Linked DNA regions of Styela clava. The protein of the gene in region 1 binds, or shares a complex with, the protein of each later gene. Links are inferred from orthologs where the notes say so. Each region holds a gene or a part of one and is shown in the gene's direction. Other genes may lie near its edges.

Region 1 (9,197 bases):
TGGGCTGTCAGTCAAGTCACGCAAGAGTGATTTTGGGGTTTAGAAGCCGTTTGGCTGCGTTTCCGGGCCGGGAAACGGTTCGCCCGGGCATTGGGAATTTTTCCAAACATGTTTGGGGGTGGGGGAAGTGCCCCCGCCCCCCCAGTGGTGAGAAAACGTGTGGAAAGCCACGCCCACTTGGGTAATATGGTTTTTGGACGATTAGGAGTCTTTGGAATCGGTTTTGGGGCAAAGTGATGCATATTTATGGAAGGGACTAATTAATAGAATATATTACCACCTCAACTTTGGGGATTCCCCTTCCCCGTAACGGTCCAGTGAGTTCGGAATGTTGCGCTTAAGATTTGAGATATTGAGGAAAAAAAATACATAGGTAGGTTGAGAAAGTTTAGTTTAATACTTTTTTCAAGAAATTTTTTTGCTCCCGTGCCTCTGTCACGGTCTAGTGATTTTGGTCTTTTGCCGGCTTCTGAGAGGTCATATCAAGAATCTAAAGGCATGGGCGTGATCAGAAAAATTATTCCAATCACGTATCAGCAAAATTTTTTTTCTATTAGCCTTCAGTCACGGTCCAGTGATTTTAGGCCATATCTCGAGAACGGTAATAGATAGGGGTCTCGTATTTGGGGTATACGAGGTAGTTGGAGTAAAGTTTATGCCTATAGAATTTCGTCACGGTCGAGTGATCACTGACCTCAAAATTGATAAAAATATACTCCAGTCCGTACCGTTGAAACCCTTTATGTTAGGGGGGGCCGATGGCGTCGGTCGGATCATGCCGCGATCCGTCCGACGCAACAGATTGCGGCTCGAGCGTCGTAGACAAAACCGGCCTGAGCCCAACCAACCATTTGTGCGCCCGCGGCCCCCCTCGTCGTGTGCCGCAGGCAGACGTTTATTCTGGATGCTATTCCGCCCACGTCAGTGCATATGGCAACGATAGTTGCAACAGAAATCGAAAGCCGGCGGCCAAGTGTATGATATGTGGGTAATATAGGCGACGGCTCTAGTAGTGAGTGTTTTCGGAGAACCGCAAATGGTAGAGACACGCCCGAGGTGTCAAAAGATGGGGGACGGGGGGAAACTAACAAAGAAAATTTTTCGGAACGATCGGGCCAGGGCAAGTGGGCCAAAACTGGCTTTTAGTGGCCCAAAGCTGCTGATTGGTCAATGGGCTGTCAGTCAAGTCACGCAAGAGTGATTTTGGGGTTTAGAAGCCGTTTGGCTGCGTTTCCGGGCCGGGAAACAGTTCGCCCGGGCATTGGGAATTTTTCCAAACATGTTTGGGGGTGGGGGAAGTGCCCCCGCCCCCCCAGTGGTGAGAAAACTTGTGGAAAGCCACGCCCACTTGGGTAATATGGTTTTTGGACGATTAGGAGTCTTTGGAATCGGTTTTGGGGCAAAGTGATGCATATTTATGGAAGGGACTAATTAATAGAATATATTACCACCTCAACTTTGGGGATTCCCCTTCCCCGTAACGGTCCAGTGAGTTCGGAATGTTGCGCTTAAGATTTGAGATATTGAGGAAAAAAAATACATAGGTAGGTTGAGAAAGTTTAGTTTAATACTTTTTCCAAGAAATTTTTTTGCTCCCGTGCCTCCGTCACGGTCTAGTGATTTTGGCCTTTTGCCGGCTTCTGAGAGGTCATATCAAGAATCTAAAGGCATGGGCGTGATCAGAAAAATTATTCCAATCACGTATCAGCAAAATTTTTTTTCTATTAGCCTTCAGTCACGGTCCAGTGATTTTAGGCCATATCTCGAGAACGGTAATAGATAGGGGTCTCGTATTTGGGGTATACGAGGTAGTTGGAGTAAAGTTTATGCCTATAAAATTTCGTCATGGTCGAGTGATCACGGACCTTAAAATTGATAAAAATATACTCCAGTCCGTACCGTTGAAACCCTTTATGTTAGGGGGGGCCGATGGCGTCGGTCGGATCATGCCGCGATCCGTCCGACGCAACGGATGGCGGCCCGAGCGTCGTAGACAAAACCGGCCTGAGCCCAACCAACCATTTGTGCGCCCGCGGCCCCCCTCGTCGTGTGCCGCAGGCAGACGTTTATTCTGGATGGTTAGGCAACCCGAGAGCACTGAAAGTGCGTATGCACAGTATAGAATCAAATTTCGTTGCACGAAAGTCAATAGCTAAAGCTAACTACTCTAAGCGACCGTGAATCACTATTATCTGAAGAACCACAGGGCCGATCCGGACGAAACTTTGCATGTAGCGGGGGCTAGTTACCAAAAGAACACAGAAAATTTTTGGGAGCGATCGGGCCAAAGGAAGTGGGCCAAAACGGGATTTTAGTGGCCCGAAGCTGCTGATTGGTCAATCGGCTGTCCGTCAAGTCACGCGAGAGTGAGTTTGGGGTTTAGAGGCCGTTTAGCTCTGTTTCCGGGGTCGGAGAGCGTTTGCCCGAGTATTGGGAATTTTTCCAAGTATATTTGGGGGTGGGGGCAGTGCCACCGCCCCCCCAATGGTGAGAAAACGTGTGGAAAGCCACGCCCACTTAGGTAATATCGTTTTGGGGCTATTAGGAGCACTTGGAATTGGTTTTTGGGCAAAGTGATGCTCAAATCTCAAAGGGACCAATATATAGAATATTTCACCACCTCAACTTTGGGACTTCCCCCTCCCAATCGCCCTCCAGTGGCGTAAGAAGGTTGCGCACCTAAAAACGAAGATATCGAGAAATAAAATAGATAGGTATGTTGGGAAAATTTAGTTTAATGCTTTTTTCAAGAAATTTTTTTTCTCTCACTCCCCAGTCATGGTCTAGTGATTTTGGCTTATTGCAGGCCTCTGAAAGGACCTGTTGAGAAAGTAAAGGCATGGGCATGTTTAGAAAAATTATTTGAATCTATTTTGAAAGAAATTTTATTTCTCCATCTCCTCAGTCACGCTCCAGTGATTTTACGTTATATCTGGAGAATGGTAGAAGGTAGAGGTGCCATATTCGGGTCATACAAGGTAGTTGAGGGGTAGTTTATGGCAAAAAAAATTCGTCACGGTTGAGTGATCACGGACCTTAAAATTAGAAAAATTCCACTCCGGTTAGGGGTGATCAGTTTATTACAGGGTATTTGAACTTCTTAATGGACTAGAGGGGTCGGGGGCACAGCGCCGGACGAATTTCCGCCATTCGTCCGACGCAACGACCCGGGTCCTCCAACAAACTTCAAACAAACATCTGCTTCTTAATTTACTAAAAATATTTCCATACATTTCCCCTCGCGGGTAGCGTAGCGACCTTCCCCTGGATGGTCAGGCAACAGTGTAGCACTTTAGTGCGTATGCACAGTAATGGTCAAAAGACTTTGCGCGTAGGGCAAAAATAATGTGACGAAGTCTCTTGGCTAAGACCCATCGAGTTACCATTTCCCAGAAAACTGGCGGGCCGATCGGAACGAAACTTGGCATGTAGTAGGGTGCAGTTACCAAAATAGCAAATAAAATTTTTCAGAACGATCGGGCCAAAGGAAGTGGGCCAAAACGGGCTTTTGGTGGCCCAAATTTAAGGTTGCGTGACATTAATTATTTCAAGCTGTCAATCAAGTCTCGCAAGAGTGATTTTGGGGTTTAGAAGTCGTTTAGCTGCGTTTCCGGGGCCAGAAAGCGTTTGCCCGAGTATTGGGATTTTTTCCAAGTGCAATTGGGGGTGGGGGCACTGCCACCGCCCCCCCAGTGGTGAGAAAACGTGTGGAAAGCCACGCCCACTTAGATAATATGGTTTTTGGGCTATTAGGAGCACTTGGAATTGGTTTTGGGGCAAAGTGATGCTTAAACCTCAAAGGGACTAATATATAGAATATTTCACCACCTGAATCTTGGGAATTCCCCCTCCCAATCGCCCTCCAGTGGCGTAAGAAGGTTGCGCACCTAAAAATTGAGCTATCGAGAAATAAAATAGATAGATATGTTGGGAAAATTTAGTTTAATGCTTTTTTCAAGAAATTTTTTTTCTCTCACTCCCCAGTCATGGTCTAGTGATTTTGGCTTATTGCGGGCCTCTGAAAGGACCTGTTGAGAAAGTAAAGGCATGGGCATGTTTAGAAAAATTATTTGAATCTATTTTGAAAGAAATTTTATTTCTCCATCACCTCAGTCACGCCCCAGTGATTTCACGTTATATCTCGAGAATGGTAGAAGGTAGAGGCGCCATATTCGGGTCATGCAAGGTAGTTGAGGTCTAGTTTATGTCAAAAAAATTTCGTAACGGTTGAGTGATCACGGACCTTAAAATTGGAAAAATTCGACTCCGGTAAGGGGTGATCAGTTTATTACAGGGTATTTGAACTTCCTAATGGACTAGAGTGGTCGGGGGCACAGCGCCGGACGAATTTCCGTCATTCGTCCGGCGCAACGACCCGGGTCCTCCAACAAACTTCAAACAAACATATGCTTCTAAATTTACTACAAATATTTCCATACATTTCCCCTCGCGGGTAGCGCAGCGACCTTACCCTGGATTCTTTTTGATGTTTTCCTTTTAAGTTCTTCAAACTTCGTTAATACTTTTTCCCATTTATCTTATCCAGTAAAATATCATTTATAACTACGGATACCAATATAAATCTGCTTATTTTCGCATTCTCTAATACATTTCAGTTTTTGATTTTTGTGCTTTGTCAACTTGATAATTGCTTCTTTCCATATAATGCTTCAGAAATGACCATTAGATATTTTTGCCATGCAATGTCTCCTGTATCAGAATTGCATCGGTGTAACGACGGTGGTTGGAGTCCTGTTTTTTACGAAGGGTTTGTTTTCACGTTTTTGAAGAAAAGCACAAGCATGTCACCATGCGATGCTTTTGCCATATTTTCCCATGCTGACCTACTGACTGACTGATAGTGCCTGATTATTGAAGAGTTTTTTGTCAGCAAGTTTGTAATTGATTGATTTATTTTTCTGTCCAGAGTAGCCTACCGTACGTCTGTCTGTACGTACCATACCGACATACTTTCCTGCTGTCAGGTCAGGGTACCGGTATTGCAGTATTGCATAAACAATTTGATTTGTAGTAATTAAAAAGATCTCACACTTGGATTAGAATGAGGAAGTCAATTGAAAAGCGGAAGCTGGATGACGATAGTAATAAAGTAAGTGACAATTCTGTAAAACTGAAGATTTTATTTCCAGATTTTAAAATATTTAAAATTCCACAAACTTTCAAATATTGGTAACGTCATAAGTTATTACTACTGACATAAACAGCATTGGGACCAGCAGTTACTAAATTACCTGACCTAACCTACTCCAGTACTCCTCTATGCACTAATCCTGTAATCACATATGCAGATATGAGACAATATAAATACTGAAATATTTTTTGACGGTCATATTATTATTCTATTTATTCAGATTCTTGACACTAATATAAAGATAGAGGAGTCCTCTGAAGATGAACTGAGTGAAAATGAGTCAGGTAATTAACATTGTGTTTATGAAATTTATTGATCTTGTTAAATTCCCGAGAACATTTTCATCAATTCATTTCTTAAAATTTTGACTCAATCTGTCACTCTTGGTAACAAAATTTTTTCTAGAAAATTTCATTTTCCAATCCTACCTGCTCAAATAATCATGCTTGAAATTTCAAACCCTGGGAGTCGAAAACATTTACTTTATGAAGATTCAAACATGACGCCATTCCAATTAAAGCACGAACAGAAACATCGGACTAAAATTCCAATAATATGTCTATATTTATTTTGCGAGGTTTTGCTCGCTCTCCAGAATTTTCTCTTTCTATTAGTGTTTATTAATGTATGAATTTTTCAAGATTAACTATCTATCTTATCCGCACTGCTGAATGGATTCATTTTGTCAATATTTACGCTATTGTACGCCAACTCAATTTTTTGGGCTATGCTTTATTCCATTCATTATTTTCCCAGATTTTGATTTATCAAGTGAAGATTCTGGTGTTGATGAAGATTATTTAAAATTGAGTGATGAAAGAAATCAGGATCAAGAGAAAACAGAATCTTCATCAATCATAAAGCGAGTAACACCATCCTCTGACGTTACAGATGCCAATAATGATGATAATGACACATCTGATGAAGAGGTAACATTGTATATAATATAAGAATATCATAGATCTGTTGAATGTGCACTTCAACAAAGTCTGTTGTTGCGAATATCCAACAACAAATAATCTTTGAGTGAATTTGTCTAAAAAAACGACATCAAAAGAAAAATATCATTCAGAAAGGTCTATTGCTAAAATTATTATTATTATTAAAATTATAAAATGAATTTTTTATCACATTTATTTGAAACATTTAATTTAATTTTACATTTATTTGAAACAGAACCATAAAAAAATATAGTCTATAATTAGTTTTACCCAGCTTGTAATAAATTAGATAGGCAATGTCGAACGAGAACGATTCCACACATGTCATTAGATATCAGTTGCTGCTAGTACAAGTATGAAAGACATGAGTAAGCGTCATATGGAAAAGAAAATTTCTCAGAGATAGCCAACAGTTTTCAAATTACTGCCTATTGCTAAATGTGAATATCTCAATTCGAATCACCTGGCGTAGCACCATTTTTCCTCCCATGTTTCCGATGGTGTTTATGTAATATGTATATTTTCTTCATTTACAGGATATTAGGAACACAGTAGGAAATATACCTATGAAATGGTACGAGAATTTCCCACATATCGGTTATGACTTGGATGGGAAACAAATATCTAAACCCATCAGAAATATGGATGAACTGGATAAATTTTTAGACAAAATGGACAATCCTGATTATTGGTAAGATATTGGAATCAAGGATTTATTTTTTTATTTAAGGAATTTTAATAATTTATTGTCTGGTGTTTCTATATTACAGCTGTACCTTGTGTTTTCTACAATTCTTGGTTAAATAAGAGTCTCTAAACTCTTTACTTTAATGATCTGGGCTTTGAAAATATAATATGGGTAATATCTGAACCACCTACTGCTGTCTATAGTATTGGTGCTAATTCTATTTATGATTTCATTTTCTCAGGAAAACTGTTTATGATGAAAACACAGCTCGTGATCATAAATTGACTGAAGATGAATTGCAACTTGTGTCAAGACTTAAGACTGGAAAATTTTATAATTCAACAATCGATCCCTATGAGGTAACATATCAATTTGTTTTAAAAATAAGCGTCAAACTTGAAGACTTAATAAGGGAATAGATACATAAATTATTTTCCCCTAGATTTTGTGAGACATACCTTTAGTGGATTTTGTTGGTAAAGCAGGTATAGACTCAGGTGTACTCCTGTATTTTGTGTACCAGGTCAGGGTTGGGCCATAATCTTATTCCGATTTTTCTCATTTTAGTTCTATTACGAGTTCGTGGACTGTCTGTGTTAGCCAAGTGAATATACCCCCTGCCCATAGGTTTCAGTCCCTTTATACAACTTGATGTAAAGTAAGCGAACAAAATTAGTCACCTCCATTTTGGTACACACACTTCTGGAGCGTCGTTATAGGTATGAAATAAAAAAAGAGTATGGAAGCTCGGGAATAGGAGATATGTATCTCAGTATAATTAGCCTCCCTGGCTTGTTTCTATTGAATGAAGGAAGTTTTTGCTTTTTATTTCAAAGATCTGGATTATAAGGTTTTGTCTTTTGCTATTTAGCCTTATGTCGATTTCTTCACACATGAAAAAATGATTCATCCTATCAACAATGCACCAGCACACAAGAGAAGTTTTACACCATCACATCATGAAAAACTTAAGGTCAGTAGTAAGAATTTTGAGTTGGCGAAATGAAACAGTTTGCTATTTGAATTGTGACCAACAGGTATATGTTTGATGGCTAGAACTGTATTTCAACAAAGTGTTTTTGTTTTAAAATCATTAAATATTCATCTTTCAAAATGATCAAATGGGAATGGGTTAGGCTTTTCAGTTTCCATTCAAATTTTGACCTTGCTCACCAGTATTGGAAGTTCAAAATTTCGAACGAATATTTCCCGAATTCTCCGGGAATATTGAAACACAAATCTGGCCTCGACTCTGATATTAATGTAAACACGTAAAACTACAGATTTAACAGTTTTTGTTGAATACATTTCTAGGTTGGGAAACTTGTGCATGCCATCAAGATGGGTTGGTTAAAACCTAGAAAAGAGAAAAAAGAAGATGAACAACCTGTATTTTTTGATTTGTGGGCAGATAGCAAAGATGAAAACTTGGTGAGCATAAAGAAAATATGAAATTTTTGCTCAATTATCGGTTTCAAATATTTTGAAAAAATTACTATGTAGGCCACTCTGTAAATATTCTAGTCTGCATAGATCGTTTGCCTGTTTACTAATTAAATCCATAAACATGAAACATCCAACTTCTTGGCTATTCCTAAAACTGGTAACTCGTAACGGTATCAGAAGGCATGGTTTGTCATATGATTATGTCTCTCTCTCTCTCTCTCTCTCTTTGTGATTGCAATAATAATTGAATAGTAAAATATTTTATATTTTTTCTTGTATTAAATTCCAGTCACACAGTCAAATTGCTCGTCGTAAGATGCATATTCCTGCACCAAAAGTCAAATTGCCAGGACATGAAGCTTCTTATAATCCTCCACCTGAATATCTAATGTCCGAAGAAGAGGTGACTTTAATTTTTTCTTTTAGCTTATAAATCATCCAGTAAAAGTTTAATAGAAGATTACCCATCGTGGAAAGTACTGTTTTTTTCATTATTTCAACGAAATTTGAAGTTGGGAGTTTAGTACATTTTATGATTTTTTCGAGAATTGTGATATATTAAAATTGTATCGGACCTGTATTCGCAACCAACGTCAATTTTCTAACCCAGTTGTTCTCTACCGGGGTTTCACCGGGGCAGTCATGGAGTTCTACAAGTTTCCATTCAAATTCGAGAATGTTTATATGTATATTGTTCAAATATAATACCTATTAGGTTTTTCCTCTATTATTAAACTTGCTACGCTGATAAAGACACTCTATTTTTAATAGCAATTTACTCGAATTATCCTATTTCAATCAAAAAATACTCTATCTAGAGACTGGCATGGGAACAAGAGGATCCAGAGGATAGGAAAACAAATTTTGTGCCTCAAAAATATGATTGTTTACGGAAAGTTCCTCAGTATCCTAAATTTATTCAAGATGCTTTTGCAAGATGCCTTGATTTATATTTATGTCCAAGACAACG
Region 2 (9,795 bases), on another chromosome or scaffold:
AAAAATGTCGTACATAAGCCAGTGCCCACTGTTGTATCTGAAAGGGAAAACTACACTAAACCGAATCGACTAGAAGAATTGCCAAATATGGTTCAGTCTCTAGCAGATGCCGAAGTTAAAACAGTCAATATGGCAGAAATTACACCTTCACCAACCACAGAAAATAAACCACTACCAAACAATCCTAATGATGTAGCTCCATCTCTTGTCAGTGAGTTACCAGTCGCCAGACATACTAACAAACAACAAAGCGAAATCAAGAGTTCACCAACAAAGCCGAAACCCAGAGCAAGAACTTTGCATTCTAATGAGGAAAAACCAATTGCTCCAGTTCCAGTTGCACGGCCTCGTTCTAAAGATGTTAGCAATGACTCAAATCAAGTCGAAGATAATTCTAAAGCATCCTATAGGAAATCGTTGAATCCATTTGAATTGGAATCTGGGTCAGATTCTGACACTACTCTATCTTCTACATCCTCTGAAGAAGATGGCAATCCGTTTGAAATTACCCCCAAAGTACAGGAGAGAAAGGAAGATGCATCTAAAAACGAGAGAACAGAAGATAAACTTACTGAGATCATCAATGATGAGAATAGTGCAGATGAAGGCGGCAATCCTTTTGGTGATCCACCAGAAATTGATCAGCCTGAAGAAGTTTCCAATAAAGAGTCGGATAATGAAGGAAATCCATTTGGAGATGCAGATGAAGAAGAGCCTAAGAATAAAGCTGTTGATAGAGTCAACCCTTTTAATACTGAAGTTTATAAGAATTCTGCAAAACTTGATGACAAGATAGTAGTAAAGAAGAAACGGCCAGCTCCAGCACCACCAAAATCAACTTCAGCTCTTCTATCAACACAATCACCACACAAAAAAACAGCTGCCCCATCTAGGCCACCAGGATGGAAGGATACATCAAGTCAGAAAATGGTTGAATTGAATAAGGCTAATGAAAAAGATCCACGCTATACTAAAAATAGTACCAAGCCACAGTCGTCTTCAAAAGCTAGAGCCATGCACAAAAGCCCCAAGGCCCGTTCAGCACCTGGGTATGGATATCCACTTGTTAAGCGAAAAGTAGAAATAAAAATGTCGGAACAAGAGATTGCTAACGAATTGAAGTTACTCGATGTTCAATTAACTGATTATGAAACAAAGGGTGTAAAATTAGAAGAAATGTTGCGGTTTGCAATGGATAGTGAATGTGAGTGGACATCAGAAGAAGATGAGTTGCTGCAGGAGTGGTTTCAACTGGTTAATAAGAAAAATCAATTGCTCAGGCAAGAGTCTGACCTTGTGTTTCAGATGCAACAACAAAAACATGAACAGGAGCATGCAGATATTGAATTTCAATTGCGGAAGCTTTTTAACAAACCGGAGTCTACTAAAACTGATCAAGATAAAATCGATGAAGAAAATCTGCTGCAAAAACTTCTTGAGGTTGTTGAACGGAGGAATGTAATTGTTAATTCCATTGAAGAAGAACGCGTGAAAGAGGCAGAGGAAGATTCAGCGTATGAAAAAATGAAAAGGTTACAACAGAATCCAAGCAAAAAGAAAAAGAAGAATAAAGTCAAGAAGATGTTCAGCAAGAAAGGCAAAACAGACAAAGAAAATACTGCTAAGACAAAGTGAACGCAATAAAAACTATGTTACTGATTTTATCATAAGGAATGATTGTTTTCTACCTAAAACACATCCTCCGTTACATAGATATATAAATATACATGACTCATACATGATTCACTAATATTTTTATGAGCTAAATGAAATTAAGTATCCCTATAAATCATATCATTGACTGGCAACTCACCCCTACGACTTCTAAACATTGTATATATAAATACTTTCTATATTTGGAATTGTGAAGATTTAAGATACAAATATTATCTTTAATGACATTGACTCATAAAACAAATTTGTTTGCTAGAGCAATCATAGAAATGGATAATTTTGTATGTCCAATACAATCACTGTCTGTTAAATTCGGCCAAAAATGAGGATAAATAGTACTAACCATACGCATTTCGTATGTGTTGCTTATATACATAAATTTTTATTTAGTATTGCACATTTCATCATTATTTAGAACACCAATAATTGACATTTTCATGCATTTATAAAAGGGACATATATGTATTATATGTACTATCATTGTCATACCTACACCAATGGCTATAGTCCGAATACCCTTATTAGCATTGCACCAGATTCATGACAGTAATTATTTTCCGTGCAATCTGTCTTTTGGTGTTGAAATATTGCACAGCAATCAGTTTTAGTTGACAATCCTTAAGATACCATAATTTTAATGCTTCGATTTTTAGGATAAGCCGTTAATTGGTTGAATTTTTCAGATAATTAGGAGTTATAACATTTGATTTTATTGAGCTGAACTTTTTGATGCCATCGCTTTTGTAAATAAGTCCTGAGACTGCAGTTGAATATTACACTGCAAATAGAATTAGCATTTGAAAGTTCAAACCATACAATACAGTTGCCAAACCTGTGGCTGGTCCACAGAATCTGCACAAGTGTTTATTAACAGTGTTTCAATGCCTGACAGCCATTTTTTTAAATTTATGTTTTAGCAGATCAGAGCTCACTATTCTTATTTCTATATTGCTGACTCGCTTGCCCTATTACTGCTTGATTGTATGCATTTCACCAATTTTCTCTATATCATTACATATGCTAAGCAAAGTTTTAACTATGTATATCTACATTATATATCATAACAAAAATCTTTTGTTGCATATTATGGACATTTACAATTAGGTAGCAAGCAGAAAGCCCATGAAAGATGTATTATGAGGACAATAAGACTTTGTGTTTGCTTTTCATAATTTGTCGGGTTTAGCTGAAGGTTGGAATCTTTGTAACTTGGCTCTAATCTCAGATGATGATGTGAATTGAGCCAAAAATACTTGTGACTTCAACATGATGGAAGGCTTTGAAGGAAACTTAGCCTTTTTTATCGATTCAATCCACCTTTCGTGAATTACAGTCCTAAGCCAAAAATTCACTTATTTCAGACTCGTTTGTAAATATTTATTAAATAAAAAAAATCAATACAGAATGGTAACATAGGCAAGTTATGCACACATTACCTTTGACGATTTGGCCATACACATAGTCTTGATTTATAAAAATGTTTTTGACCAATGATTTAAGTTACATTCAAGTTTGCCAGTGAACTATATTTTTTGTTCGTCAAAATCAGGCCTGCATAACTCAAATAAAAGAAAGGGCTGCAACAGACGAAACAATTGTTTGCAGGACGCAAGTTATCATTATCACCATATAACTTGTATCGTGTCATATTGTTCGTAATGTGTAAACAGTGTAACACATGATCAATTCGACACAACCATCTTTTGTTGGGATGTTGTATCTTTTTTTTCAGTCATTGTTGTTATGTTGAAAAATGCTGGAACCGAACATCTCTATTGCATACGCTGTCATACATTTGTCCCTTAAAGCGCACGAGCTAGTATGTTGTAACAAAGAATCGTAGTGCCAAAATCGACGAAAGTGGCCAACTTGGATGTCAATTGAGCATTTAGAATTAAATGAATTTATATAGAATTGACTTATAATTGGTCTTTGGCCCCACCCTCTTACATATTTTATATGCATAAGTTATTTAAATCACCTCAAGGCCCACACGTCCTGTAGGTCTGGTCTGAATGCTCAATCATATTTTTGCTGAGTGCTTGTGGAATTGAAGCATTTACTCGGAATGAAAAGAGCTTTATGAATGTTTTCGAGTAGACCAGCACACAAAATCAAATTCATCATTTTAGATTGAACAGTCTCAATAAGGTTTCACATCAGTGGGTATGGTTATTGATAGTGAGAAGTGTGGTTCTAGTACAATGTGTAAAAGCCAAGATTCTAAAAATCTTCCCATTCATTTGTAACGACAGTAGCTTGTGTTCAACAAAGTGAAACAGGAAAACATTTGGGGTAAAGGTTCATTTGAGTGCATTTTCTTCTTGGTTAAAAAAATTATATCTACATTGAGATATATCATCTAATGATTGTTGTCTACTCTCCTCATTAAACTAAGAAAGCATCGTCATCCTCGAGTGTGTCATCCACATTTGACTCATTCTTGTCAGATTTTGATGACATATCAAAAAAGTCTTCTGGTGGATTATCCCATGGGTTGAGGTCTTCAAGGTTTCCCAAAGCTTTAACAGTATCTTCATTCATAGACATTAAATTTAGACCATCCATTGATAATCTTTTCATGATCTCTTCGTCCGAAGGCTTCTCATTCATCAAGTCATCATATTTATGACCCAGAGTCCATAACTTTTCGAGGTTATACTTTTCACGAGTGTCTTCAAGCATTATATGAATCACCATATTTCCCATGTCTATGCACTGCCAATCATCACTAATTCTTTTTCCTTCAATAAGTGTGAAAGGTTGCATACCCCTTCGTTTCGACTTATACAACTTGTTTGCCATTTCAGCAATGCTTGCAACATGCCTTGCCGACGTTGCAGTGCATATAATAAAGTGGTCAACATAGCACATTTTTTTGGGAACTTCAATTACAACGATGTCCAATGAGCCTTCCTCGTTTAAAAACTGAATGACCTCATCTAGATCGAGTACCCCCCGTTTTTTTGATAGAAAGTCTGATTTATCTTGTCGTCTTATAGTATCCCACGAGACTGTTGAACCAGATGTTGGTGGACTTTCCAAGTTTTCACTAGTCTCATGAGAACGAGAATAATAGGCAGTAGAATTACATTGATTGTAAGTGGGGCTGCATAGTTCACATGAATGACAAATGAAGCGTCCACTCCTGAGGGGCTGAAAGCGCTTCAAAATATTCCGAATAAACATCGTCGACATAATAGCAAATTAGTCTATGCTAAACCCCTCAATTGTGTCAACAATGAGCCGAAGATTATTCAATAAGGAATTCACAGATACTCGTAAAAGTCGCGCCTCAGCTGCGGTCCAGTATACGCAGAGTAAATTATTGTTTACTTCAATCACTTTATCCACCAATTGCCTTCGAGGCTCAACGTCTACAATCAGAGTATTCTTTGCAATCAACGCATGTTTAGCGTTTTTCATGGGAACTTTGATTTCGAACCTCAACACCGACCTCCCATGCACAATAGAAGCCATTTGCTACACAACAAATAACTTGAGGGAAAATGTGTTCACCAGTTCAAGTCGGCCCACAAGTCCCGCTAGAGAGTCCCACAACTGTCAAGAAATAAAAACTAATGAGATCGAATAAAATATGGAATGACAATTTAAATTTTATGAAAAGTACGAATAACACTAGAAATCAATAAACGCTTCTTCTTTTTAATATTCATTGACGACAAACCTTATTTCACGCTTCAGATCACAAACCACGTGCTGAATAAGAGGGGAAACACCGATGTATGACTCCTCTATGATAGATCCACGTTTTGGTAGAGATTTGGAATAACGTCGCTGTGATCTATTGCTACCAAACATCTTATCTGACATGGGAAGAATAAAAAAGAAGGTATTTATGTATAATTTATATAATTATTACATAATTTTTTGACTTATCTTTTTACTTTTATATACCAAGCACTCATATTCACTGTGAAACTATGTTATCTGTTTAGCATGAAGCCGGAGCTGCAACGCAATACATAACTCGAAAGCATGCTTGCAAGAGACTTCAGCTCAGTTTGGCCAACTTTCGACGAATTTGTATTCTAAAGGGCATTTATCCTCATGAACCAGCACATAAAAAGAAGGTGAATTTTTGTTTTGTCAAGCATCTAAAGAATTTCAATAGTTGATTATAATTTATTGACGCCAGATTATCTGAATATGGTATTTTTTGCAGTTATTGATAAATGTTTTTGTCACAATGATACAATCGTTGATATATGAGCTTTAGTAATATAAGGTCACATTCTTGTTTTATACTATTCAATTATAATCAACTGACTCATCTATAGAGGAGGGACAGATAGAAATAACTGACTGAAACGGCGGGCCACACCTTTTTTTAACATAGACTATCTAGTAGTTGCGTGGGCACAAAAATTTTGGTTATTGGATCTTGTGACATGCGTCGAGACGACATGCGACAAACCAGCTGCTAAGACACTGATATCTTCGCATCGCAGAGGGATTGAAAATTCTCGCACATACCGAATTAAATTAAACACATCATTCAAAATTGGCACTTCTCCAATTTTTACTTGAGGGCCGCAGGTTGCACACCCCTGCGGTAAAGTAAAATTATTGGTGTTTGTTCCTGCTCTAGAAAGTTTATGTTAAATGAAAGTTGCTGTCCTGGTTCCACCCAGTTATTTGTATCTGATGCTTTTGTATTGAAGTTTACACTCACTTGACATATACCCTTCAATGATGATATAGGTTGTTTGCCAGTTCTGCTTCTGATATTTGTGATGTGACTGCAGCCAATTTATTCTGAGAATTTTTTGTTAGCTATTTATATGTGGTCAATAGTTGAGTTAGAAAATTGAAATGAAATGAAGGTAAATTTGTATCATACAGGATTTCTGATGGGTTGTAAATTTGTATATTATTTTTATACTAATTCTATTTTAAGGTGAATAAAGGAAGCACTGCAAATCGTACATTCTACTTCTTGAAAGACATTCAATTTCTGGCACACGAACCTGTTATAAGCAAATTTCGTGAACATAAAGTAAGTCTTGGTTAACCTTTTTTATATCAGATTTATTTTAAAATTACTAGCGCTGTAAGTGTTTGGTCTCTTTTTAGACTTATATAAAAAAGTTGAAAAAAGCAACGGCAAAGGATGAAAAATCGAGAGCAGCATACTTGAGAGAAAATAAACCAACTTACAAGATTGATCACATTGTGAGGGAAAGGTAACAATATTTCCATAAGCATTACTGAAATACTCGTCATTTTAATTTTGGCTTTTATTTTTGTTGGAATTAGCATCTCACTCACTTTTTATAGAGTGTTATCAAATCTTTGCTACTTAAGAAACTAGTTTGTATTTCCTGAGCCCTCATAAGTCAGTCAATTTTATTACACCTTTGGTGAGGTTTTGGACCAGAGATGAACTGCTACGTCAAAATAGTTCTAACACTCTAGGTCAGCGGTTCCTAACCTTTTCAACTTGGCAGACTGATGACATCTTATGAAATGACCTCGCGGACCGGCAACAAATATTGAAATGACTGACACAAAGCATGGAACTAAAATAGGAAAAACATGAACGAGGTCTCATTTTAATGAGTGTCCTTTTTTCTTGCATTTGCTGTTTTATTGTTCTTGACTGAGTGAAACTCACGGGGCTAATACCACACTTACCGAAAAATTCGCCTAATAATGCAATGCAACTGCATGTTTTTTATGACCAAGCGATTGCACTGAGAGAGAAAAGTGAAATTTGCTCGTTCTGGTCTGCAGACCAGCAGTTTGGAACCACTGCATTAGAACATGGTGCCCACACAGTCTTGAGTTATACAATATACCGGTAGGTAGGTTAGATTAACTTGTCTCCTATGACAGTGCTGGTGACAGGGGTGTATTGATATTTTTCAGATATCCAACATTTACAGGAGCTATCCAAGATTTGGACGATGCTCTGTGCATGTGTTTCTTGTTTTCTAATCTACCAAAATCACACAGTATTCATTCTGAAACAGTTCAGCTTTGTAGAAGGCTTACAGGTAATTTTGTTTTTGAACACAGCCCGATTAAAAGGCTTTGCAAAATGAGCTTATTTTGATTACATGGATTTTAAGTAAAATATTTCTTTCATGAATCTTGTTTGAACTAGGGGTGTTTGATGTTCAATATGTAATTTATGCTTGACAAACATTATGGATAGGCTTATAGAATTAGTATATTTTCTCATGCCATCCTTTATTTTTCTACTTTTTTGTATATATTAATTAGATAATACTCATGTTTAGATTTATTAATATTTTTTCTTATAGTGGAATTCATGCATTATGTGATTGAAGCAAAAGCTCTGAGAAAAGTCTTTATTTCAATCAAAGGAATATATTTTCAATCTGAGATAATGGGACAGTCAGTGACATGGATTACACCACATAATTTTTCACATCATGTAAGTTAATATGACCACTACAACATAACATCATCCCGAATGCAGTTTTGCAGATTCCTGACTCAAAATTATGATACAAGGGTTTTAAATCACAAAATTAAACTCGAATATAAAATTTTACCTAAAATAGTACTAGTATTAATATTAGAAATTGAATTAATAAAAACAATCTGAAAAGGATAGATTTTTTATCCTGGAGTAAAAAATAATTAGATGGTTAGGAGCTGGAACCACTGAAATTTTATGAAGCTCTGGCTCTAGCTTCATTTATTATGGTAAGCGCTGCTACAAAAGGTAATTTACTTTATCCAATACAAGATCCATCTGGCTGGAACTGTTGGGATTTGTGTACAGCTTCTATCTCATTTTTATGTTCGTTTAAAATAATATTTCAGCACCCAGAAGATGTTGATTTCAAAGTGATGTCGACGTTCACAGAATTTTTTCGAAATATGCTTGGATTTGTTCTTTTCAAATTATATAATGACATCAATTTACATTATCCTCCTCGGATATCGATAACAAGCACAGCAGAGTCTGAAAAAGATGACGAAAAGAGAGATGATGGAGATCTAAAAGACCTGCCAAAGTTTTGCATGGATAATGAAGTTCATTCAGAGGTTTGCCACCAACTATATTTATACTGAGGATGAATAAGGCCCAGCCGGAGCAAATCTATGTATTTTACCAACATTTAGAATTACTATACAGAAAAAATTCACTAAGGCGTGATATGGAAAAAGACACTAGCTTGTAGAAAACATGAAAATTATCAAGGCGTGAAATAATTGAAGTTTTTCTGCGTAGTAATTTGAAACTTCTGCAAATTAAATCAGTTCAGCAACACCGGTTATGCTTTATTTATCCTTGAGGTTTGTTAATGTCATTCTTAAACATTTTTGTCACATTTAGAATTATTATGCTACATGTTGCCATCGAGTGGAATTATTGGGGCTTACAACGTTTCTCTCTTCAACAACGTGATAAAATTTTGTAGTTTTGACATGCAATGAAATGAGGGACTTTAGTCAAATTTTTGATGAGACAGACCTTCCTCATGAGAGTTCCTCATTGAAAGGCTGCTGTTATCTGTGGTGTAAATTGTTCAACTCCAATACGCCAACAAATATTTTCCATTAGCAATTGATATTGGTATTTGCTATTGGCAATAATTCATTTTATTTTGTGAATATACTTGAACAAGATTATTTCTTTTACAATTAAATTCAAAATATTTATTTTATTATTATTATACCAATTACATCAAGTTTATTTTTACAGAGAGTTACGAGTCTTAACACACCGTTAGCAAGGACAGAGATAGATGATCAATCTACTGGGATCCAGGATGAGGAAGTTGCTTTACTTGCTGGAAATACGGAATCAATTGCAAAGCAAAAAGAAGAAGATGAGGCTTTGAAAAAATTTCAGAATCTTTTTTCGAATTGTAAATTTTTTCTTGGAAGAGAAGTCCCCAAAGAAACGCTGGTCTTTGTTATCAGGTACTATAATGTAGATGTTGGACGATGCTTATATATCTATAGCAGCATAATTCAATTAGTCTGAAAGTTTTGAGAATATAGGTTTATATTATATCATAGTGATGTCCACATTCAATTAGTTTAATGATCTTAAATTCCAACTATGGATTGGTTTGGATGATTGAGAAGCACCATTTCCATTGCACTAAAATCTTG

What was found.
Region 2: ribosome biogenesis protein bop1-like (region 1) and pescadillo homolog share a complex: the UniProt entries of both Homo sapiens proteins name them as parts of the peBoW complex. The link is inferred for Styela clava from reciprocal best matches to the Homo sapiens genes BOP1 and PES1.

The regions. Positions count from the first base shown.
Region 1 is NC_135260.1:8,269,395-8,278,591, reverse strand, and holds the start of ribosome biogenesis protein bop1-like, read left to right. Parts: upstream 1-4,805; 5' UTR 4,806-5,062; coding exon 5,063-5,110; intron 5,111-5,372; coding exon 5,373-5,436; intron 5,437-5,908; coding exon 5,909-6,081; intron 6,082-6,629; coding exon 6,630-6,784; intron 6,785-7,022; coding exon 7,023-7,140; intron 7,141-7,652; coding exon 7,653-7,754; intron 7,755-8,095; coding exon 8,096-8,212; intron 8,213-8,516; coding exon 8,517-8,630; intron 8,631-9,045; coding exon 9,046-9,197. UniProt on the Homo sapiens protein: Component of the PeBoW complex, which is required for maturation of 28S and 5.8S ribosomal RNAs and formation of the 60S ribosome.
Region 2 is NC_135252.1:3,712,101-3,721,895, reverse strand, and holds the start of pescadillo homolog, read left to right. Parts: upstream 1-5,367; 5' UTR 5,368-5,506; coding exon 5,507-5,527; intron 5,528-5,633; coding exon 5,634-5,768; intron 5,769-6,595; coding exon 6,596-6,694; intron 6,695-6,771; coding exon 6,772-6,881; intron 6,882-7,566; coding exon 7,567-7,694; intron 7,695-7,964; coding exon 7,965-8,098; intron 8,099-8,493; coding exon 8,494-8,718; intron 8,719-9,379; coding exon 9,380-9,600; intron 9,601-9,795. Other genes in the region: MICAL-like protein 1, read left to right, coding at 1-1,635; uncharacterized protein K12H4.2-like, read right to left, coding at 4,063-4,872. UniProt on the Homo sapiens protein: Component of the PeBoW complex, which is required for maturation of 28S and 5.8S ribosomal RNAs and formation of the 60S ribosome.